3 linked regions of the Macaca mulatta genome follow. The protein of the gene in region 1 purifies or fractionates together with the protein of each later gene. This does not show direct contact. Links are inferred from orthologs where the notes say so. Each region holds a gene or a part of one and is shown in the gene's direction. Other genes may lie near its edges. The genes, in order: PPP1R10, PPP1CB and TOX4.

Region 1 (8,338 bases):
CCCACCTTCTGTATGTTCTGCAGTCAAGGAAATAGCAGCTCACTAAAAAAAGACATAATCATGCCCTGGATTATTCGTGGTTCCAGAAAGCTTTCTCAAGCTTTCATTCTAGACTCCAGATCCTGAGTAGGTAATGTTACAACACTTAGTCACAGCCCCTGCCTTCCTTCATCAACTCAGTTTGCCTTCTCAGCTGTAGCCCTGTGCCCGGAATGTTGGACTTTACATTCCTTCCCACTTCAGTGCCTTGGAGCTTGTTTGGTTTTTTCCCAAAATATACTGACTTCCAAGTAAGGAAACTAGGTTATAAGACACTTAGGGTCCTTAATTTTAAATAAGAATGAATCTGCCTAAAGGAAGGCCATCATGAGAAAACCCACTTATATTTTATCAAGATTGGTGCTAATGAGACAAAATTTCACTTATATTTCCAAAATATAAGTAGTGGAAAATGAATGTTTAACACTAATTTTGCTTTGTCTCTTAGCTTTCCTTTGACTATTAATGTTTTTTATTCTTGTTTATACAAATGGGAATAAAAAAGTCCTTGGATCCCATTCCCAGCAGAGGGCTCTGGACAGAATTTAGCTTTGTACTCATTGGTCCATTTTTCTAAGACTGGCTCTTCTGTCTTGTCTCCCATCCTCTGAAGGAACACTTGAGCTCAGATGACAGTTTATTTAGTGTCTGAAGGAAATAGAGGTAGCTGGTCTATTTATTGGTTTAGCTTGCAGTTGGATATGCCAAAGGGAATTCTCCAGGGTTGTATATATTCAGCCCTGGGTTTGAACCAGTCAAGTCAAGGGGAACTGGTTTGAAATGATGTTTAATTCAAGGCCTTTTGTCAAGTTGCATATATTTTGCTTTGGGAATCTAATGGTAGGTATGTGTGTGTATATATAGAGTTTTAAAAATTTCTTAGTCTCTTGATTGCTTATGTTATTATTGGAACCCATACATTGCTTTTCCAGTCTCCAACAGATGTGATATCTGTTTTATATGTCCCTTTATCATATCTCTTTATAGTTTCTATAGATCACTTTATATTATCTCACTACATGGGAAGAATACCTTTATTTCTGTGTCTGTGTAAGGATCACCATACTTGAGTGGATTTGGCCCACGAACGTCTAATCTTTTCCAGTATTCTCCTTGAATGTTTTTTCTCTGACCTCAGGTTCCACTTGTACTTGTAGAGGTTCCAGGGCAGCAGTGACTTCTCAACATTTCTTGCCTCATCTCTCCCTTTGTTCGGCCCACAGGTTATGACCGCCAGAGCCAAGATTATACTGCTTCCCTTCCTGGCTGCCTCCTCCCTGCTTCTGCTGCTGCTCGCCTAGGTTGTTAGGACCTCCACATTTGGAAATTTATTGACCTTTTTGTTGGGAGGACTAAAAGGCTGAGATTGTTATGCTTATGTTTTTTCTTTTGTTTGAGAACAAATAGAATTAATTTGCATTATCTCACAAGAAACCTATGTTTTTTTCCGGCACAAAAATACTCATCTTTGTAAAATACTGATTTTTCTACCCTTCTGCGGGGATTGTGTCTGTTACCTCTGTGCTAGATGTAGGATGAGGAAGGTTTTGTTCTTGCCTCTTCCTTGCTACCCAGTGTTGGCCTTATTGCCCAAAGGCAGATATTGCTGAAATGGCTTGCTTTTTTGGTGGTTTTTTGTTTGTTTGTTTGTTTTTGAGACAGGGTCTTACTCTGTCGCTCAGGCTGGAGTGCAGTGGCACAATCACAGCTCATTGTAGCCTCAATGTCCCTGGGCTCAAGCGGTCCTCCCATTTTCCCACCTCAGCCTCCTGGGTAGCTGGGACTACAGGTGCACACCATCATACTCAGCTTATGTTTTGTAGAGATGAGGTTTCGCCATGTTGCTGAGGCTGGTTTCAAACTCTTATGCTCAAGGAATCTGCCCACCTTGGCCTCCCAAAGTGCTGGGATTACAGGCGTGAACCACAGCACCTGGCCTCTTTTTTGGTTCTTAGAAGCAAGTATTTAGAGGCAGTGTAGATACAAATCCCAATCAGAACAATATTGATTGTAAATTACCTTTCTGGAACTTCAGTTCTGCCCTGTCCCATAAAAGGAGCTTAGCTTTTAACTAATTCCTTTTCCAACCTGGTCTAAAACAGCTGCTTAAAAGGGAATTTTTCTAGCATTTGACTTTATCTATTCCATTCTTTAGTTTCCATGGTTTTCAGTTTTAGGCTTTCCTAGGGGATCCACAGCGTGATTTTTGAGGAGAGGACCAGATTTACATCTTTGCTTTTGAAAGCACAAACCACTAGCTTCCGTTTAACATGGAGACAGTAAAAACTTGTGCAGTGTTTGGTTAATGAGTGACAGTCTATTCAAGGCCTAGGAGGACCTGCTTGATTTCCTTGCATCCATTTGTCTCAATATCTGGCACCTACCTCCAGATCTCCTTAGGGAAGGATTCTGTTTTCAAGTTTTGTTTTGTTCTCTATCATCTACCACTTCAGCTGATAGATATCTTGCCTTATGTCGTGATTATGACTCTTAATGGGCTAAGATAAAAAGGAATCAACTCTTACAAGACATTTAGCTCAAACACCCAAGATTTGGCCCAATTTCTGTCAAGCTATAGGCTGTTTTTCAAGCCAGATTTTTCAGCAACTAGGGAAGACAGGACTTAACAATAGGTACAAATGCCCTGGAGAGTTGAACATCTTGTTATGAGAACTGAATCTTAGCTCTAGTACGATCTAGTGAAGTTCAGCCATCCTAGGAAGGATGCTACTGGGAGGGAGGGACAGGTGTGCTGCTCTAGTCCTCCAATCGAATTGCTTTCCTGTTCAGTCACATATGCTCCCCATGTTTAACTTGCTAGGGCTATTTTCTCGGTAGTGGCAAGTGGTCTGTGTTGATTTTTCATATCTAAAAAATAGCATAGTTGAATAGTCACTATACTTTGTCAGATGTAGAGATGTGGTTTATTAGAGGGCCTACTCGGGTAGTCCTTGCCACCCATTTATTCTGTGGGTTTGTTTGTTTTGTCCTCTTACCATAGAAACCACCATCATGGGTTCTGGTCCCATAGACCCCAAAGAACTTCTCAAGGGCCTGGACAGCTTCCTTAACCGAGATGGGGAAGTCAAAAGTGTGGATGGGATTTCCAAGATCTTCAGGTGAGTCTTTACCCTTTTTTGGATTCATTGTGAGTAGAGAATATTGTGTGTTAAAATATGGCTGCAGTTGAGGCAGACTGGAATGATCCTGGAAAGGAAAGGGAAAGACAGTCAGTGCAATAGGATTAAAATCTAACAATTTTAGGGTAAGGGATAGGAAAAGATGATCACTTGGTTTCTGACCATAGCGGAAGCTGGAGATTTGGACGTCCACAGTCCCAAGGGAGTCATATGTTGGAATGAGAGCAGGGTAGCCTGGTAACAGAATTCTAGATTGTTTAGGTTCATGTTCCACCTACCTATAATGTTATTTTCTTTCAGGGATTCTCAGGTTCAGGGGAGAGTAAATAAGCCAGTCTTGAACAGATTATTAGGGACAGTTGTTGAGGGCTAGCCGTATCACCTGGGGGCAGAATGACATTCATCCTGTGTGTTAGGGAGGCAGTGATGCTCTCCTCCCCAGGTCAGGGACTTCGGTGTCTCTGTTCTCCCATAAGTTTCCATGTTACACTGGATCCATCCCATCCTCCTAGAGGTATATGTGACTCCCCCTCTCTGGAGCAAAGTCCCAAATCATCAGGAATCTCTAGGCAGTTCACAGATTAGAGAGGCGCTTTTGCTAAGAGAAGAGATACTGGCTGCTTCATTTCTAACCCTCACTCATATCCTGCAGTTTGATGAAGGAAGCACGAAAGATGGTGAGTCGATGCACTTACTTGAACATTCTCCTGCAGACCCGTTCACCAGAAATACTGATCAAGTAAGTGGGGATCTGGATGGTTGGAATGGGAAGATGTAGCTAAAAGATGGGGTGGTGAGGCATGGGGTTCCAGGGGCATTGATGGGAGACTGGGATCGTGGGATGTGGTACTTTCAAAACCTAGAAAGGGCGTTACTGATAGACTCTCCTGCCTGCCTGCAGGTTTATTGACGTTGGTGGCTACAAACTTCTTAACAATTGGCTGACGTATTCAAAGACAACCAACAACATTCCCCTCCTCCAGCAAATACTACTGACCCTGCAGCACCTACCACTCACTGTAGACCATCTCAAGCAGGTACCTTTAGTCTTTAAACCCTGATTCTTCTTTTTTTGGTTTCGTCTAACAGATGAAAACTCACACTGACTGATGTTGGCTGTGATCTTGGGCCTGTGAGATAGAATGGCAGAAAAATAATTTAGAATAAGAAGACTTGGTTTGAATTTATCTCCTTTAATAGGTGTGTGGCGCCTGGGTGCGGTGGCTCACGCCTGTAATCCCAGCACTTTGGGAGGCCGAGGCAGGCAGATCACGAGGTCAGGAGACCGAGACCATCCTGGCTAACACGATGAAACCCCGTCTCCACTAAAAATACAAAAAATTAGCCAGGCATGGTGGCATGCATCTGTAGTCCCAGCTGATCAGGAGGCTGAGGCTGGAGAATCGCTTGAACCCAGGAGGTGGAGGTTGCAGTGAGCCAAGATCACACCACTGCACTCCAGCCTGGGTGACAAAGCGAGACTTATCCCCCACCCCCAAAAAAAAGAATGTGTCAGGCCGGGCGCGGTGGCTCACGCCTGTAATCCCAGCACTTTGGGAGGCCGAGGCGGGCGGATCACAAGGTCAGGAGATCGAGACCACGGTGAAACCCCGTCTCTACTAAAAATACAAAAAACTAGCCGGGCGTGGTGGCGGGCGCCTGTAGTCCCAGCTACTCAGGAGGCTGAGGCAGGAGAATGGCGTAAACCCAGGAGGCGGAGCTTGCAGTGAGCTGAGATCGCGCCATTGCACTCCAGCCTGGGCGACAGAGCGAGACTCCGTCTCAAAAAAAAAAAAAAAAAAAAAAAGAATGTGTCAGCCGGGTGTGGTGGCTCACACCTGTAATCCCAACACTTTGGGATGCTGAGGTGGGTGGATTGCTTGAGCCCAGTAGTTAAAGACCAGCCTGGGCAAAAATGATAAGACCCTGTCTCTACAAAAACTAAAATTTACCCAGATGTGGTGGTGGTGGTGCATGCCTGTAGTCTCAGTTATTTAGGAGACTCAGGTGGGAGAATCATTTGAGTCTGGGAGATTGAGGCTGCAGTGAGCCAAGATTGCTCCACGCACTCTAGCCTGGGCAAGACAGTGAGACTCCGTCTCAAAAAAAAAAAAAAGGTGGGGGGGAGCATTGTAACTTTTGTCATTTTTAGCTCTAAGTGGAATTATTTGCCTCCTGGCATTTACCTTTCTGTTGCTCCCATTTCTCATAGAACAACACAGCTAAACTGGTGAAGCAGCTGAGCAAGTCAAGTGAGGATGAAGGTAGGTGCCGCTCCTGCTCTCTCATGGGCTTTTCTCTATTACTTCCACTTCATTACCTTAATATCTTTTCCCATCCTTGGATTGTCGCTTCACTTTTCTCTTTCTGTGTCACCTTGCTTTTTTTTTCCTTCTTTTAAAGAGAAAGTTCCTCTAACCTGTACCCTGTTTCCTGTTCTCAATTCCAAAGTTGTTCATTTCTCTGTTGCTGAATATAAGGCGCCATACTTTAACTGGAAGCTGATTCCTAAGATTGCTTGTTATAAAACACATACACTTAAAATTCACTGTGGGAAATAGTATCATCCTAGCGTGTCTCATCATCTTTCACTTCTGTTTTTCTAACTATAGCATATTCTGGGAACTTTAATAACTGTTTTCCTAACAGTAGATGTACTAGTTCTACCAATAAACATATTCCTGTAGGACATGGGCAAAATCTTGACTCTTGAAATATATCAAAGCGCCGGGCGCAGTGGCTCACGCCTGTAATCCCAGCACTTTGGGAGGCCGAGGCGGGCAGATCACGAGGTCAGGAGATCGAGACCATCCTGGCTAACAAGGTGAAACCCCGTCTCTACTAAAAATGCAAAAAATTAGCCAGGCGTGGCGGTGGGCGCTTGTAGTCCCAGCTACTTGGGAGGCTGAGGCAGGAGAATGGCGTGAACCCGGAGGCGGATCTTGCAGTGAGCCGAGATTGCGCCACTGCACTCCAGCCTGGGTAACCGAGCGAGACTCCATCTCAAAGAAAAAAAAAGAAATATATCAAAGCTCTGATTCTTTCCTTTTCTAAAAGAGTTGTGGAGCTTCTGGCAAGGACCATATAGTTCTGTCTTGAAGACAAAGCCTGTCTCCTTTAGAAATTTAGAGTTTCCTTTATCTCTACCCGGGCACACAAGATACCAGTTTCCCACCAAGTGAGCAGTGATCTATTTCCAACTGGCTTAATTGTGTTGCTCTCTTTAAATATATATTTAATTACCATCATGCCTTTAGATATTGAAATTTGTATATTCCCTGTCGGTTGTAGTTAAGTCTCACCGGAACCATAGTTATCAGTTACTCCAGAAAGATTTTAGGATATTCCTGCATTGAGGTTCATGTTGGCTTAGGTATAGAAATTGCTAATTGTATGACTGTTTCAAAAAGTTATGTTTTAGTGTTCTGTGAAAATCTTACTGTTAAATGACAAATTATGAAATACGTCTCTAAGTGGAAATGTTGGCCAGAAGAGAGGTGCCATAGATCAGAGATGTTATTTGCCAAGTACAAAAGGAAAGAGTTACAAAAGTATTTTTTCATTTAGAAACAAATTTTATGCTTGTTTTTACATCTATAAAGGAAAATAAAAAGTCTTCAGATTGTTGTAACAATTAGGTGTGTTATACGTAAAGCAACTAATGTAGCTTTTTAAAAAAATGTCAGTAGTTTTTGAGGAACTGGTGGATTTTGGTTACATGTATAAGTTCTTTAATGGTGATTTCTGAGATTTTGGTACACTCATCACCCGAGCAGTGTACATGGCACCCAATGTGTAGTCTTTTACTAATGCAGATTTTAACCACATATTCTGAAATAAATATTAGGTCTTTTTACTCCAGAGTGGTGTGATGACATCAGAGTTGAAAGTTATTTGAGTAGAACACAACTCTTAATTCATTGTTCCATTTTTTAGGAGTTTGGTTTTTAAGCATATCTCATGTTCTTCTTAAAACTTTGGATTACTTTCTCCATTACATAGATTTTCACAATATTTTCTCAAACCTCCCATTTTCTGTTCCTGGAAGAATATTTTACATTATTAGGCATTTCCCCTTTCTCTCACCTGCAGAGCTCCGGAAATTGGCCTCAGTCCTTGTCAGCGACTGGATGGCTGTCATCCGCTCTCAGAGCAGTACTCAGCCCGCTGGTAAGCTCCTTAGTCCTTTATCCTTTGTATTTATTTCTTTCCTACTGGGATGTGGCCTTTCGGTACTCCCAGTCTGCTTCACCTCTGACAGTGTTTAAATAAAATCCATTTCTGCTTTGTTTTTTCACGACAGAGAAAGATAAGAAGAAACGTAAAGATGAGGGGAAAAGTCGAACTACCCCTCCTGAGCGACCTTTGACAGAGGTGAAGGCTGAGACCCGGGCCGAGGAGGCCCCAGAGAAGAAGAGGGAGAAGCCCAAGTCTCTTCGAACCACAGCACCCAGTCATGCCAAGTTCCGTTCCACTGGTAAGACTGGCGGCTGGCCTCTGGAGGGTTCGTGTGCATGTGCACACCCAGAGCCTTATGGGGGAATCATTTGATGTGTGATATGTTAATCGTAAGGAAGAGAGAAGATTAGCAGAGGAAGCTTTGGTTACAAGGTTAGAAGAACATTTGCGGGTGAGAACGGGAGGAAAATTCAGGGGTTTAGGGGTTTGAGTTCAGCTGCCCACACCATGCTGCTTTCCCCAGGACTAGAGCTGGAGACACCATCCTTGGTGCCTGTGAAGAAGAACGCCAGCACAGTGGTGGTTTCTGACAAGTACAATCTTAAACCTATCCCCCTCAAACGTCAGAGGTATGGACCATATTCTCAGGTTCTGAATGGGGTGGATCTGTGGACACAAGGGAGCAAGAGGGGGTGAGTCAGAGATGTTGATGACAGTTCCTCTTCTGACAGCAACGTAGCTGCTCCAGGAGATGCTACCCCCCCTGCAGAAAAGAAATACAAGCCACTCAACACAACACCTAATGCCACCAAAGAGATCAAAGTGAAGATCATTCCGCCACAGCGTGAGTCTAAAGTGGGGAGATGTACTTTGAATTAGGAGCAAAGTCTTTTTTTTTTTTTTTTTTTTTGAGACAGTCTCGTTCTGTTGCCCAGGCTGGAGTGCAGTGGCACGATCTTGGCTCACTGCAAGCTCCGCCT
Region 2 (7,541 bases), on another chromosome or scaffold:
CTAGCCTGGGTGATGGAGTAAGACTCTGTCCCCAACAAAAAAGACATTAAATGGGACACTTTTCAGTATCTTTGATTTCACATGGTGAATCTATTTTGATTGTATGCTTTTTATTCAGTGACTACTAAAATATTGAAATTTTTAGCTATCAGTACTATGTCTCATCTTTTTATTTTTAGGATTGTCACCAGACCTGCAATCTATGGAGCAGATTCGGAGAATTATGAGACCTACTGATGTCCCTGATACAGGTAAGTATAGCTCTCTATAGTTTAATTATTTCGTGTAAAGTGTTGTCATATTTGAACCTGATTACATTTAGCGGAAGTAGGATTGGTTTATGTAATAAATAAAAGAGTTTTTTTTATAGTCAGTAAGCCAGCTGCAGATTACTTTATTTGCAGTAATACAAAATTTTTCACTTTGCACTGATCCTCAAAATGTGGAACCTTTTTATTTATAGTCATAATATGGTTCTGTCACCCTTATTTGATCACAAAAAAATATTTTGCTATTGAGTCCTCATCTATTTTTCTAAATTCCCTCGTTCATCCTGGCATTGGTTGTTTTTCAAAAACTTGTTAAATTAGCCAAAAGTTTTTTAACTAAAATAATCTGTTCTTTGCTTCTTAGGCAAGGATACAACTACCTTCTTTTGAATTGTCTAGTAGTTTTTTGTTATTTTCTGCATCCTCTATTTCAAATTTTTAGAGCTTTTTTTCAAGGGGATGTGGGAGGGATTTCTTTTTGTTGCCCAGGCTGGACTCGAATTCCTAGGCTCAAGCAATCCTCCTGCCTCAGCTTCTGAGTAGCTAGGACTCCAGGCATGGGCTGTACCTGGCTTAAATTTTTAGAGCTCTTAAGGCTCTAGAGACCTGTGGTCAGTTTTGTGAAAATTACATTGGAAATCTGTGGGAAGACTGGGAGCAGTGGCGCTCACGCCTGTAATCCCAGCACTTTGGAAGGCTGAGGTGGTCAGGATCACTTGAGGTCAGGAGTTTAACACCAGCCTGACCAGACAAGACGAAACCCCATATCTACTAAAAATAACAAAAATTAGCTGGGCATGGCGGTGCGTACCTGTAATCCTAGCTATTCAAGAGGCTGAGGCACGAGAATCACTTGAACCCGGGAGACAAGAGGTTGCAGTGAGCCGAGATCACACCACTACACTCCAGCCTGGGTGACAGAGTGAAACTATCTCAAAAAAAAAAAAAAAAAAAAGAAACAACCACCACAAAAAATGCTACTCAGCACTACACATCAACCATTATAAATGGTATAGATCCTCTGATGTCAGTAGCCATGTAATACACTGTATGTTGTAATAAATTGTGTTATAAGCTTTTTTTTTTTTTTTTGAGACAGAGTCTTTCTGTGTCACCAGGCTGGGGAGCAATGGCGCAATCTCAGCTCACTGCAAGCTTTGCCTCCTGGATTCAAGTGATTCTTATGTCTCAGCCTCCTGAGTAGCTGGGACTATAGGCACCCACCACTGCGCCCGGCTAATTTTTTGTATTTTTAGTAGAGACGAGGTTTCACCATGTTGGCCAGAATAGTCTTGATCTCTCGACCTCGTGATCCATCCGCCTTGGCCTCCCAAAGTGCTGGGATTACAGGCGTGAGCCACTGCTCTGGCCTGCGTTGAGCTTTTTTACATAACACGACTTGTGTTGATTATTTTTAAAAGTATGCATTTTATCACAGTTTTTTATTGTCATTATAGAATACATTTGACTTGATATAATAGAAACTAGTATTTAAATAGTATTTTATTTAAAATGCTGTTTTTAGGCCTTGTGCACTAGTTCGTGCTTGTAATTCCAGCACTTTGGGAGGCCAAGGCAGGAAGATCACTTGAGGCCAGGAGTCGAGACCAACCTGGGCAACATAACACCCACCTCTACAGAGAGAGAGAAAAAAAAAATTTAATTAGCCACCTGTGGTGGTGCCCCAGCTACTCAGGAGGCTGAGGCAGGAGGATCACTTGAGCCCAGGAAGTTGAGGCTGCAGTGACCTGTGATTGTGCTCCTGCACTCTAGCCTGGGTGACAGAGTGAGACCCTGTCTTTCAAAAAACACCCAAAGTGCTTTTTTTAAAATAAGGTATAATATAAATATGTATTAGTCATTCTTCAGAATTTGTTTATAGTTCAGATGTAAATTTCAAGTGTGATATGCTAGGCTTCTATTTTTAGCATATTTTATTTTAGCATATTTTAATGAGAAGTTTTTGAGATGCTGAAAACGATTATTTTAATCTCTGATAGCGTCTGCAACATTCAGAAATTTAATTTATAAATTAATACATTATTTGAAACAGTCTAGTTGATTGCGATGCTAGCTCATTAAACAATGAACCTTGACTGAAAACCTTTTTTTTTTTTTTTTTTTTTTTTGAGACGGAATTTCACTCTTGTTGCCCAGACTGGAGTGCAGTGGCGCGATCTTAGCTCACTGCAACCTCCGCCTCCCAGTTTCAAGCAGTTCTCTTGCCTCAGCCTCCCGAGTAGCTGGAATAACAGGCACCTGCCACTGCCCAGCTAATTTTTGTATTTTTAATAGAGATGGGGTTTCACCATGTTGGCCAGGCTGCTCTGGAACTCCTGACCTCAGGTGATCCGCCCACCTTGGCCTCCCAAAGTGCTAGGATTACAGGCATTAGCTACCGTACCCGGCCTGAAATTCTTATCTTGACCCTGTTAAGGTTAAAGAATTCCAGATTGTTGTTGCTACCATTATTTGATTTTTTTAATGCATCCACACTGTCATATTTCCTAAACCTTAAACTGTATTCTAATTTTATACAGTTATTGTCACACTGAAATTATAGATTCTTAATACCTTAGCTTTCTACTGGAAACAGGCTGGAAAGTATGAGAGCTTTATTAAGCACTGGGTGTGTGTATATTTTCAAAGAGTCAGCTTCAACCAGAAAGGGCTTACGATTTGAGACTGACTGTTCCAGTGGATTTTGTGTGCTAGTGAATTTCTTAAAACATCATACAGGAAGCTTGGGATATATCAACGATAGAAACTGAGTACATTGCCACTAATTCTACAGATGGTTTTATAATGCCTCTGTCAAGATACGATGTACTGTAACTGAAAATGAAGATGTCCTTCCCTCCTAAACCATACTGTGATGTTTATGGATTCTTTAAAATTCTTAAAACTGACTTACTTTTTAAAAAATATATTCTCGGCCGCGCGCGGTGGCTCACATCTGTAATCCCAGCACTTTGGGAGACTGAGGCAGGCGGATCATGAGGTTAGGAGATTGAGACCATCCTGGCTAACACAGTGAAACCCTGTCTGTACTAAAAATACAAAAAATTAGCTGGGTGTGGGGTGTGCGCCTGTAGTCCCAGCTACTCAAGAGGCTGAGGCAGGAGAATGGGATGAACCCGGGGGTGGAGTTTGCAGTGAGCCGAGATTGCGCCACTGCACTCCAGCCTGAGACTCCGTCTCAAATAAATATATATACACACACACACACACACACATATATATATATATCTTAGCCACTATAATTCTTAGAAAATCACTATCATCTCAACATCCACCCTTCTTTTAATATCACTACAGTTGGACTTTTACCCACTCTGTTACCCTCAATCACCAAGAAACTTGCATTAAGTTCTGATGATTTAATTGTAAGTGGCACATTTTTGGTCTTTGTCCTACTGCCCTTGTTCATGGCACATGTCCTACTTTAGGACAGTTGTTTCCCCTTTCAGGATACCTTTACTAAGCCTTTTGTCTTGATCATTCCTTCTCAATACTTATGCTCATTCTCCCTCACCTGCCTGCCTGTTAAATGTTTGGAGTCCTCAGAATTCATTTACTGGTCTTCTCACTTTGTATTCCCAAGGTGGTCTGAGTGCCTCTTAAGATTTCCATTACCATTAATATGATAACAATACTCAGGTAAATATTTTTAACCGTGACCTCTTTTCCAAGGCTCCAGACATTACCAAAGTGAAGGATCTGATCTGATTTTGTTCTTCCACATTTAAAAAAAAATCCTCAGGCCCTCAGTAGAAAATGGTTTTTTTTCCCCCTCAAGTGATCTATAGATCAAATACAATTCCAATGAAATCACAATTGAGTTTTTTATGGAATTAGGCAAATTGTTTTTAATGTTTATGTGGAAGAACAAAAGATCAAAAAGTAACTGAGACAATCTTGAGAGAAAAAAAAATGGAGGATACTAGCCCTGCCGAATATAAAGACTTGTTTAAAAGCTCTAGTCTGTTACTGGCTCAGGGATGAATCAAATAGACTAACGGAATAGACTGGTGCTCAGAAACAGTGGAACTGTAAGGAAAGGATGAACTATTGAGGAAATGCTGCTGGGTTCTTTGGTTATTCATATGGAGAAACTACACAAAAGATGAACAGTGTTTTCCATATATTATTGTGCTATAAGTGCCATACACATATTTCCTATATGTGGAAAGGGTTGGAAAGCACTACCTTAAGAGGCCCTGGAAGATTATATTTGTATGGTTGCTTTAACAAAAATATGAGTTACATAGGCTGGGCAAGTGATTGTCATTGTTTAGTTAAAAGTAAGAGGGTCAGAGAGGAACTGAAATTTGATGTAGATGTGCTATAAATCTGTAAATTTTGTTCTTAATTGCTGTATTTCTGTCCTTTAAAGGTTTGCTCTGTGATCTGCTATGGTCTGATCCAGATAAGGATGTGCAAGGCTGGGGAGAAAATGATCGTGGTGTTTCCTTTACTTTTGGAGCTGATGTAGTCAGTAAATTTCTGAATCGTCATGATTTAGATTTGATTTGTCGAGCTCATCAGGTATGAAAGATAAGACTCTTAAGTGTTTTCTTTTTTCTTTCTTTTTTTGGGGGCAGACGGGGAGGGCAGACAGCATCTTGTTCTGTCACCCAGACTGGAGTGCAATGGCGCAATCTCTGCTCACTGCAACCTGTGCCTCCTGGGTTCAAGCAATTCTCGTGCCTCAGCCTCACAAGTAGCTGGGACTATAGGTGTGTGCCACCACACCTGGACTCTTAAACGTTTATTATTTGTTAACTTCACATAAGTCCTCTCATTTTGTTTTGAGGAAACATATCCAAGAAACCTAAATGAGTTGTACAAGGAAAGCAGTAGGAGAGGCGGCAGAGCCAGTTCCTGCATCTCACACTTAACGATCTAATGATTTGTTAACCTTTTATCACCCTAAAAGAGGAAATGTTTAGAAATATTTGGGGACTGGGCGTGGTGGCTCACATCTATAATCCCAGCACTTTGGCAAGCTGAGGTAGATGGATTGCTTAAGCACAGGAGTTTGAGACCAGCCTGGGCAACAAAATGAGATCCCATCTCTACAAAAAAATAAAAAATTTAGTTGGGTGTGGTGGTGCATACCTGTGGTCTCAGCTACATGGGAGGCTGAGGTGGGAGGATCGCTTGAGCCTAGGAGATCAAGGCTGCAGTGAGCCATGTTTATGCCACTGCTCTCCAGCCCTTGTGAAAGAGCCAGACCCAGTCTCAAAAAAAAAAAAAATGTGTTTTTGTAGTATACAGCAAATCTAACAAAATTTTCAGTGAGGCTTTGAAGCTTTGTAGACATGATTTAGATTTTTTTTTCTTTTTTTTTTTTTTTTTTTTTGAGATAGAGTCTCAGTCTGTTGCCCAGGCTGGAGTGCACTGGCACGATCTCTGCTCACTGTAACCTCCACCTCCCAGGCTCAATCCTGCCTCAGCCTCCGGAACAGCTGGGATTACAGGCGCACACCACCACGCCTGGCTCATTTTTGTATTTTTAGTAGAAACACGGTTTCACTATGTTGGCCAGGCTGGCCTTGAACTCCTGAGCTCAAGTGATCTGCCCGTCTCGGCCTCCCAAAGTGCTGAGATTACAGGCCTGAGCACACTGTGCCCAGCCTCATTTTTGTATGGTCTTTGTGCATAATGGCGATTTTGATAAGAACAAACCACACTTTAAAAAAGCATTTTTTAGACCATTGAAGAATTTGATTGTGGCTGGGTGCAGTGGCTCATGCCTGTAATTCCAGCACTTTGGGAGGCTGAGGTGGGTGGATCCTTTGAGCCCCAGGAGTTGGAGACCAGTCTGAGCAACGTGACAAAACCCCGTCTCTACAGAAGATACAAAACTTAGCCAGGTGTGGTGGTGTGCACCTGTAGTCCCAGCTTACTTGGGAGGCTGTGGCAGGAGAATCGCTTGAGCTCGGGAGGCGGAGGTTGCAGTGAGTGTAGATTGCACCATTTCACTCCAGCTCGTGCAATGGGTGTGAAACCCAGTCTCAAAAAAGAAAATTTGATTGTAGACTCGGTAATAGGTATCAATTATTTAATCTTTTAATTGTTTATTTTTGTTTGAGGCCGAGTCTCAGTCTGTCACCCAGGCTGAAGTGCAGTGGCGCGATCTCTGCTCACTGCAACTTCTGCCTCCCGGGTTGAAGTGATTCTCCTGCCTCAGCCTCCCAACTAGCTAAGACTACAGGTGCCTGCCACCACACCCAGCTAATTTTTGTATTTTTAGTACAGACAGGGTTTCACTATGCTGGCCAGGTTGGTGTCAAACTCCTGACCTCAGGTTATCTGCCCACCTCAGCCTCCCAAAGTGCTGGGATTATGGGTGTGAGCCACTGCTCCTGGCCGGTATCAATTATTTTAGCTGTGTCATAATCATTAATTGTTATGTAAGAAGAATGTCTGTGTTTTTCCAGGAATGCATACTCAAATGTGTAGAGGTAAAATGACATGCCTGAGATTTGCTTTAAAATAATATCAGCAGAGAGAAAGGGGGAGGGGGAAGATAAATGAAACAAATGTTGCAAAATCATGAAAGGTATTGAATTAGGCTGATGAGTTAATGGGAGTTAATTCAAGTCTTCTTGATCTACTTTTGTGTATATTTGAAATTTTTCATTATAAAAACATTTATACAGTTTAGGGTTTTTGGTTATCTTTTATGTCCTCCACCACTAGGTTGCATACTCTCTAAGGAAGGGATTACGACTTGTTTTTGAATCTCTGTTGATTTGTACAGTTGCTGACATTGTAGCATATTGTATCATGCACACATAGTGTTGAATAAATTAACTAATAAAAGCATATTTAATTAAGTATATGCTGTCCCACAGTACTTCCCTTTTTTTCTGGAGCTTTACTCCCCGTGACACACACTGCTGCTGCCTCTTTCTTTGATCCTAAGTGATACAAGTGCCTGGCTTTTCATTCTTTGCATATTGTATATTACATGCCACTTTTATTTAGCAGGATTTTTTTGTGGTTCCGTTGAAATGAGGTCATGTTCCCACATCCTTTGCTTTTGACAAAGTAGTATTTTGTTGTTGTTGTTTGGCAAAGTAGTATTTTGTTGGTGGTGGTGGTGGTGGTGTTTTGTGAGACAGTCTCACACTGTCGCCCAGGCTGGCGTGCAGTGGCACCATCTTGGCTCGCTGCAACCTCCGCCTCCCGGGTTCAAGTGATTCTCCTGCCTCAGCTCCTGAGTATCTGGGACTACAGGCGCACGCCACCCCACCTGGCTAG
Region 3 (7,541 bases), on another chromosome or scaffold:
ATAGTAAGGAGAAGGAAAATACAGAAATGAAACTATGTATATCTTTTTGTCTTTTAGGAAATTTTTACAAATGTGATTCACAGAGATTGGGCATTTCACAGGCATACTTTTTTCTCCCTAGTTTCTGCTAGCTGGAAATTTTCTTTCTAGCAATGTCTTTTTTTTTGAGACGGAGTCTCCCTCTGTCACCCAGACTGGGGTGCAGTGGCACGATCTCGGCTCACTGCAACCTCTGCCTCCTGGATTCAAGTTATTCTCCTGCCTCAGCCTCCTGAGGTAGCTGGCATTACAGGTACCCGCCACCACGCCAGGCTAATTTTTGTATTTTTAGTAAAGATGGATTTTCACCATGTTGGCCAGGCTGGTCTCGAACTCTTGACCTCAAGTGGTCCACCTGCCTCGGCCTCCCAAAGTGCTGAGATTATAGGCGTGAGCCACCGCACCTAGCCTTTTTTTTTTCTCTTTTTTCTTTCTTCTTTCTTTCTTTTCTTTTTTTTTTTTTTTTTTTTTCCTTTTAGACATGGTCTTGGTCTGTCGCCCGGGCTGGAGTGCAGTGATGCAGTCTTGGCTCACTGCAACCCCCAACTCCTGAGTTCGAGCGATCCTCGTGCCTCAGCCTCTCGAGTACCTGGGATTACAGGTGTGTGCCACCATGCCTGACTAATTTTTGTTCTTTTAGTAGTAGAGATGGGTTTCACTGTGTTGGCCAGGCTGGTCTCGAACTCCTGGCCTCGTGTGATCCACCCACCTGGGCCTCCCAAAGTGCTGGGATTACAGGTGTGAACCACCGCTCCTAGCCTAATGTCTTCATTAAACCAGAATTGGCGGCTGGGCGCTGTGGCTCATGCTTGTAATCCCAACAGTTTGGGACGCCAAGGCAGGGTGATGGCTTGAGTCCAGGAGTTCAAGACCAGTCTGGGCAATATGGCCAGACCCAATCTCTACAAAAAATACAAAAACTAACCTGGCGTCGTGGCCAGGCGGGGTGGCTCATGCCTGTAATCTCAGCACTTTGGGAGGCCGAGGAGGGCGGATCACCTGAGGTCAGGAGTTCAAGACCAGCCTGACCAACATGAAGAAACCCCGTCTCTACTAAAAATACACAATTAGCCAGGCATGGTGACACATGTCTGTAATCCCAGCTACTAGGGAGGCTGAGGCAGGAGAATTGCTTGAACCTGGGAGGCGGAGGTTGTGGTGAGCAGAGTTCATGCCATTGCACTCCAGCCTGGGCAAAAAGAGTGAAACTCTGTCTCAAAAAAAAAAAAAAAAAAAAAAATTAGCCTGGCGTGGTGGTATGCACCTATAGTATCAGTTACTTGGGAGGCTGAGGTGGGAGAATCACTTGAACCCGGGAGGCAGAGATTGAAGTGAGCAAGATTGCACCAGTGCACTTTATCATGGGTGACAAAGGAGACTCTATCTCAAAAAAGAAAAAAAATAAAACTGCCAAGCGCAGTGGCCGGTGCCTGTAATCCCAGCACTTTGGGAGACCGAGGTGGGCGGATCACAAAGTCAAGAGATCAAGACCATCCTGGCCAACATGGTGAAACCCTGTCTCTATTAAAAAATACAGAAATTAGCTGGGCATGGTGGCACACACCTGTAGTAGTCCTAGCTACTTGGGAGGCTGAGGCAGGAGAATTGCTTGAACCCTGGAGGCAGAGGTTGTAGTGAGCCAAGATCACGCCACTGCACTCCAGCCTGGGCTACAGAGCAAGACTCCATCTCAAAAAAAAAAAAAAAAAAAAAACAGAAATGGTCATAATAGAAGAACCTTTCAGGATCTAGAGGAACCTTGAGGTCTGTAAGCCCAACACTTTGGAGACTGAGGCAGTAGGATCAGTTGAGCCCAGGAGTTCGAGACTAGCCTGGGCAACACAGGGAGAGCTTGTCTCTACAAAAAATTTTAAAAATTAGCTGGGTGTGGCAGCACATGCCTGTAGTCCCAACTACTTGGGAGGCTGGGGCTGGAGGCTTGCTTGAGCCCAGGAATTACAGACCAGCTTTGGTGACAGAGCAATACCCCATCTCAAAAAAAAAAAAAAAAAAAAATGAAACCTTTAGGAACTCTTATTTAAAGAATGCATTGTTCAATTACAAAAAAAAAAAAAGTGGGTACCAATTGAATTTGATCTGAATCAGTTTATATTTACTATGCTATGTGTTAGATTGATAGAATTTAAAGTTTCTAAAATTCCAATTATCTGTGATAATTGGTTGGGGTAGGGGGCAAAGGAATCATTATTAGGATATTATTCATAACAATGGTTAATGATGGTTATTAAGCCATTATATGTATCAGGCAATGTGCTAAGCTTTTATGCATGAAATCTCACTTATCCTAATAATAACCATATAAGGGGATTACCATTGTAATTCCCATTTTACAGATGAAGAAAACTTGTTCAAGGTCTTGTACCCAGGTCTCTCTGATAGCAGTCTCTTGCTATTATTTATAATTGTCTATTGTTGCAAATGCCACCATTTAGATTTCAGTGTCAAAACAGAACCATAGCACTTAACATATCTTAGATCATATCTTGGTCTGTTAGCTGCATGAGTGGTGGCCTCATTCAGAAGAGAAAGAATGTATTATTATTGACCTAGTTGGACTCACAGGAAGAGATTGGGTCTTTAGCCAGCTGGAGTAATCCTTTTCCTCTCTTAGAGAGAAGCTTGTTCAGCAAGACTAGCATTTTTGGCATTGTTGAGGTTTTCTGAAAATCGTATACAAATGGGAATCTTGGTCGGGCGCAGTGGCTCACGCCTGTAATCCTAGCACTTTGGGAGGCCAGGGTGGGTGGATCACGAGGTCAGGAGATCGAGACCATCCTGGCTAGCACGGTGAAACTCCGTCTCTACTAAAAATACAAAAAAATTAGCCGGGCGTGGTGGTGGGCGCCTGTAGTCCCAGCTACATTGGAAGCTGAGGCTGGAGAATGGCCTGAACCCGGGAGGCGGAGCTTTCAGTGAGTGGAGATCGAGCCACTGCATTCCAGCGTGGGCGACAGAGCGAGACTCTGTCTCAAAAAAAAACAAAAAAAACAAATGGGAATTTTTAGTTGTTAACATTATAATTTCTAAAGTGGAGAAGAAGTAGGAAACTCTAAGTGCAAATATTTTAGAGGGGGATAAAGTTTCCATGACAGTACATTTTAGCATCTGTTTGAAAGGAACCTAAAACAACAAAGTACAATTGGCTGGCTGACAGCAAATTTCTGTGGCCTAACAGTTTAGTTGTAATAATTGTGAAATAACTGCTCTATTAGAATCTTTAGAGAGATTTCAAGGATCATAGTAAGCAGGTTATAAAGGCTGTATTCTAAGTAATGGTACTGGAAGAATTTTTCATTAGAACAATAGGCATAATTTAGGACAAAAGAGTGGTAATGGTAGAAAAGAGATAAAAGAATTGAAAATTGTGACTGATGTTAGCAGCCTTGAATGCACCAAGTGACCAAGGGTATCAGAAGAGAGATTGGTAAAAATAATAGGTTCTAAGAAATTGATTATAAAATAGGATCCTAAGCAGAAAAAATGTACCCTGAGAATCTCTAGTACCCCATTATGTTCTTCACTTAGTAGTATGCCATTTCTCCTCTTTTCGCTAATTCTTTTCCCCCTTTTTTCCCTACAGACATTCCATACACCAAGCTTGGGAGATGAGGAATTTGAAATCCCACCTATCTCCTTGGATTCTGATCCCTCATTGGCTGTCTCAGATGTGGTTGGCCACTTTGATGACCTGGCAGACCCTTCCTCTTCACAGGATGGCAGTTTTTCAGCCCAGTATGGGGTCCAGACATTGGACATGCCTGTGGGCATGACCCATGGCTTGATGGAGCAGGGCGGGGGGCTCCTGAGTGGGGGCTTGACCATGGTAAGGGGCAAGAGATTGTCAGGCTTACCCCAGCTAACAGGCATGGCATTAGGGGAGACAAAAGTTACTGTATTCCCTACTACACTTGGGTATTACTTGTGTGTCTTCTTGTGGCTAAAGGCTCACCAACAAAGACTTAGTTTCACCTGAATAAATGAAATTTACCATGTAGGTAGATTTTACTTGAAAAATAATTTAAAATTGTACAATGTCTGGTTAGAAAATTATTGTGGTTTTTGGGAAAGTGTTTTCTGCTTTTATTATGACCTTCACATCCTAGGATTCAAATTTGAATGTGATAGCTGGCACGTGGAGGGATTTATTAAAAAATGGTCTGAATCATGTTGAGAAGCCAGCAGATCAGAGCTTTTTTTTAAAAAAAAGGTCTGAGTCAAATATAGTATTGTAGATTACTATGTAATATAAATCAGTATGTTGGGCTTCTGGCACATGAAACCAGTAGCACATCTTCACACTCTATATTTGATGCCAAACTTCTGTAATATTGGCCTATTTATGCTGACTGCCTGTGTATTATTTTAAAAGCTATTATTTTGGGAGGGTACAGACAGGAAGTTTTTCTTTACTCAATGTGTTGTCCCTACTTATAGATTACTGAGTAAGTTGATAGCTCTTTAACTTCTCCAACAGTATGACTTCTCTGATTATTTTTAGTTCTTCTTTAGAGTGCAAAGAAGTAAATTCATTAATTTCTGTACTTTTTAAAAAAGCTTATGTTTTTATTTTCAGTTTTGAAGACTATTTTATGTTTTGTATTTTAAATGATACAATCTGGGTAGGCAGGGAATTTATAAGCTATCTTAAATTTAGGGGGGAAAGTGGTGTTTTTTTATATTTACTGTTTAATTAGTCCTTCTGCTTCTCTCAGGACTTGGACCACTCTATAGGAACTCAGTATAGTGCCAACCCACCTGTTACAATTGATGTACCAATGACAGACATGACATCTGGCTTGATGGGGCATAGCCAGTTGACCACCATTGATCAGTCAGAACTGAGTTCCCAACTGGGTTTGAGCTTAGGGGGTGGCACCATCCTACCACCTGCCCAGTCACCTGAAGATCGTCTTTCAACCACGCCTTCACCTACTAGTTCACTTCATGAGGATGGTGTTGAGGATTTCCGGAGGGTGAGGCATTCCCTGCCAAAATCAATTCTGCTGTGATATTCTAGGATAAAATTCTTGGGATACAGAGCTTAATCAGTATTCTTTAGCCTTACCATGCCATCTCCTCTGCTCTTTTCTGGGTATGGGGTTCCACCTACCAATTTCCAGTTTATAATTCTCTCAATCCCTATTCTTATTGGTTCTCCATACTTGACCAGTGTCTTTTAACGCTATTTCCATGATTTTTAGCATTTCTGAAAATTCCATACATGTGGCTAGTTTCCAGACATAATACTTGTCATCATCCATTGTGTAATTCTTTTTCTCTCTTAACAGCAACTTCCCAGCCAGAAGACAGTGGTGGTGGAAGCAGGGAAAAAGCAGAAGGCCCCAAAGAAGAGAAAAAAGAAAGATCCTAATGAACCTCAGAAACCAGTTTCGGCATATGCTTTATTCTTTCGTGATACACAGGCTGCCATCAAGGGACAGAATCCTAATGCCACTTTTGGTGAGGTTTCAAAAATTGTGGCCTCCATGTGGGATAGTCTTGGAGAGGAGCAAAAACAGGTGAGCAAATGTTAAGGAACTAGTAGTGAATGTTCCAAAAGTTTTTAAAGAGATAAAAATAGAGGTTTTCGGCTGGGCGCGGTGGCTCAAGCCTGTAATCCCAGCACTTTGGGAGGCCGAGACGGGCGGATCATGAGGTCAGGAGATCGAGACCATCCTGGCTAACACGGTGAAACCCCGTCTCTACTAAAATATACAAAAAAAACTAGCTGGGCAAGGTGGCAGGCGCCTGTGGTCCCAGCTACTTGGGAGGCTGAGGCAGGAGAATGGCGTAAACCCGGGAGGCGGAGCTTGCAGTGAGCTGAGATCTGGCCACTGCACTCCAGCCTGGGAGAGAGAGCGAGACTCTCCTCCTGGGTTCACGCCGCTCTTCTGCCTAAGCCTCCCAAGTAGCTGGGACTACAAGTGCCCACCACCACACCGGGCTAATTTTGTTTTTGTATTTTTAGCAGAGATGGGGTTTCACCGTGTTAGCCAGGGTGGTCTCGATCTCGTGACCTCATGATCCGCCCGTCTCAGCCTCCCAAAGTGCTGGGATTACAGGCTTGAGCCACCGCGCCCAGCCCCAAAAATACCTAAATAATGTGTGGAAGAAGCTCTGGTAGGGCCAAGCCCTTTCATCTTAAATTACACACTTCTGCTTAGTGACAGTGAAGGGCTAAGGGCTAATCACAAGGATAGATGAGTGAAACCCTCTAGTTTGTTCTTGGCTTTTGTTGTGCTGTTTGTGGTGGTAGTATTTAGCTTTACCTCCTAAACCCACACAGTAATAATTTTACTATAAGAATTTAAGAATAAGCCCTGGCACGGTGGCTCACGCCTGTAATCCCAGCACTTTGGGAGACCGAGGCAGGCGGATCACTTGAGGTAAGGAGTTCGAGACCAGCCTGGCCAACATGGTAAAACCCCATCTCTACTAAAAATACCAAATTAGCCAGGCATGCTGGTGGCTGCCTGTAGTCCCAGTTACTCAGGAGTCTGAGGTAGAACTGCTTGAACCCGGGAGGTGTAGGTTACAGTGAGCCGAGATTGGGCCACCTAGGAGACAAGAGAGAGGATGAAACTCCATCTCAAAAAAAAAATTTTTTTTTTAATGTGAGAAGAGGGCCAGGCCCAGTGGCTCACACCTGTAATCCCAGCCCTTTGGGAGGCCGAGGAGGGCAGATCACTTGAGGTCAGGAGTTCAAGACCAACCTGGCCATCATGGTGAAACCTTGTCTCTACTAAAAATCCAAAACAAGCCAGGCATGGTGGTGCACACCTGTAATCCCAGCTACTTGGGAGGCTAAGACAGGAGAATCGCTTGAACCCAGGAGTCTAAATCCAAAAAAGAAAAAGAAATTCAAAAAAAGGCCAGGTGCGGTGGCCTGGGAGGCAGAGCTTGCAGCAAGCCAAGAACGTGCCACTGCACTCCAGCCTGGGCAACAGAGCAAGACTCTGGCTCAGAAAAAATAAAATAAATAGTAGCTATTCTTGCCAGACTCCTGTTGATTGGTTGTCTTTCAGAGATATGCTCAGTGGAGTGAGTCTGCCATAGAGGTTGTCTTGACTGTTAGCTTTCAGAATTGTATTCACTGATAGGGGTTGTCAGTGATTAGACTAAGATGAATTGTCATTCATTGATAAATAATACAGAACTATCAGTCTTCCCTAGGAGTATGGGGAGTCTTTTTTTTTTTTAAAGTCTCTTTTTTGCAGGTATATAAGAGGAAAACTGAGGCTGCCAAGAAGGAGTATCTGAAGGCACTGGCTGCTTACAAAGACAACCAGGAGTGTCAGGTAAGAGGGATAGGGTAGATGGATATTTAAACCAGTAAGAAGTTTTTTGGAAGTATTTGTTAGCAGTTTTAAGAAGTAAATACAACCAAGTGATTTATTTATTTATGTAATTATTTATTTTTGTCTTCTTTTAGGCCACTGTAGAAACAGTGGAATTGGATCCAGCACCACCATCACAAACTC

What was found.
Region 2: the proteins of PPP1R10 (region 1) and PPP1CB purify together in Homo sapiens (affinity purification with mass spectrometry; 5 studies listed by BioGRID and IntAct, with this or other methods). This does not show direct contact. The link is inferred for Macaca mulatta from reciprocal best matches to the Homo sapiens genes PPP1R10 and PPP1CB.
Region 3: the proteins of PPP1R10 (region 1) and TOX4 purify together in Homo sapiens (affinity purification with mass spectrometry; 3 studies listed by BioGRID and IntAct, counting the BioPlex papers as one, with this or other methods). This does not show direct contact. The link is inferred for Macaca mulatta from reciprocal best matches to the Homo sapiens genes PPP1R10 and TOX4.

Annotation. Positions count from the first base shown.
Region 1 is NC_133409.1:152,437,038-152,445,375, forward strand, and holds the start of PPP1R10 (serine/threonine-protein phosphatase 1 regulatory subunit 10), read left to right. Parts: upstream 1-3,051; coding exon 3,052-3,158; intron 3,159-3,831; coding exon 3,832-3,918; intron 3,919-4,080; coding exon 4,081-4,216; intron 4,217-5,391; coding exon 5,392-5,443; intron 5,444-7,271; coding exon 7,272-7,349; intron 7,350-7,482; coding exon 7,483-7,656; intron 7,657-7,881; coding exon 7,882-7,987; intron 7,988-8,089; coding exon 8,090-8,202; intron 8,203-8,338.
Region 2 is NC_133418.1:96,185,369-96,192,909, reverse strand, and holds part of PPP1CB (serine/threonine-protein phosphatase PP1-beta catalytic subunit), read left to right. Parts: intron 1-179; coding exon 180-251; intron 252-4,665; coding exon 4,666-4,817; intron 4,818-7,541. UniProt on the Homo sapiens protein: Protein phosphatase that associates with over 200 regulatory proteins to form highly specific holoenzymes which dephosphorylate hundreds of biological targets.
Region 3 is NC_133412.1:94,347,063-94,354,603, forward strand, and holds part of TOX4 (TOX high mobility group box family member 4), read left to right. Parts: intron 1-3,640; coding exon 3,641-3,883; intron 3,884-4,772; coding exon 4,773-5,033; intron 5,034-5,348; coding exon 5,349-5,579; intron 5,580-7,277; coding exon 7,278-7,358; intron 7,359-7,492; coding exon 7,493-7,541. UniProt on the Homo sapiens protein: Transcription factor that modulates cell fate reprogramming from the somatic state to the pluripotent and neuronal fate. In liver, controls the expression of hormone-regulated gluconeogenic genes such as G6PC1 and PCK1.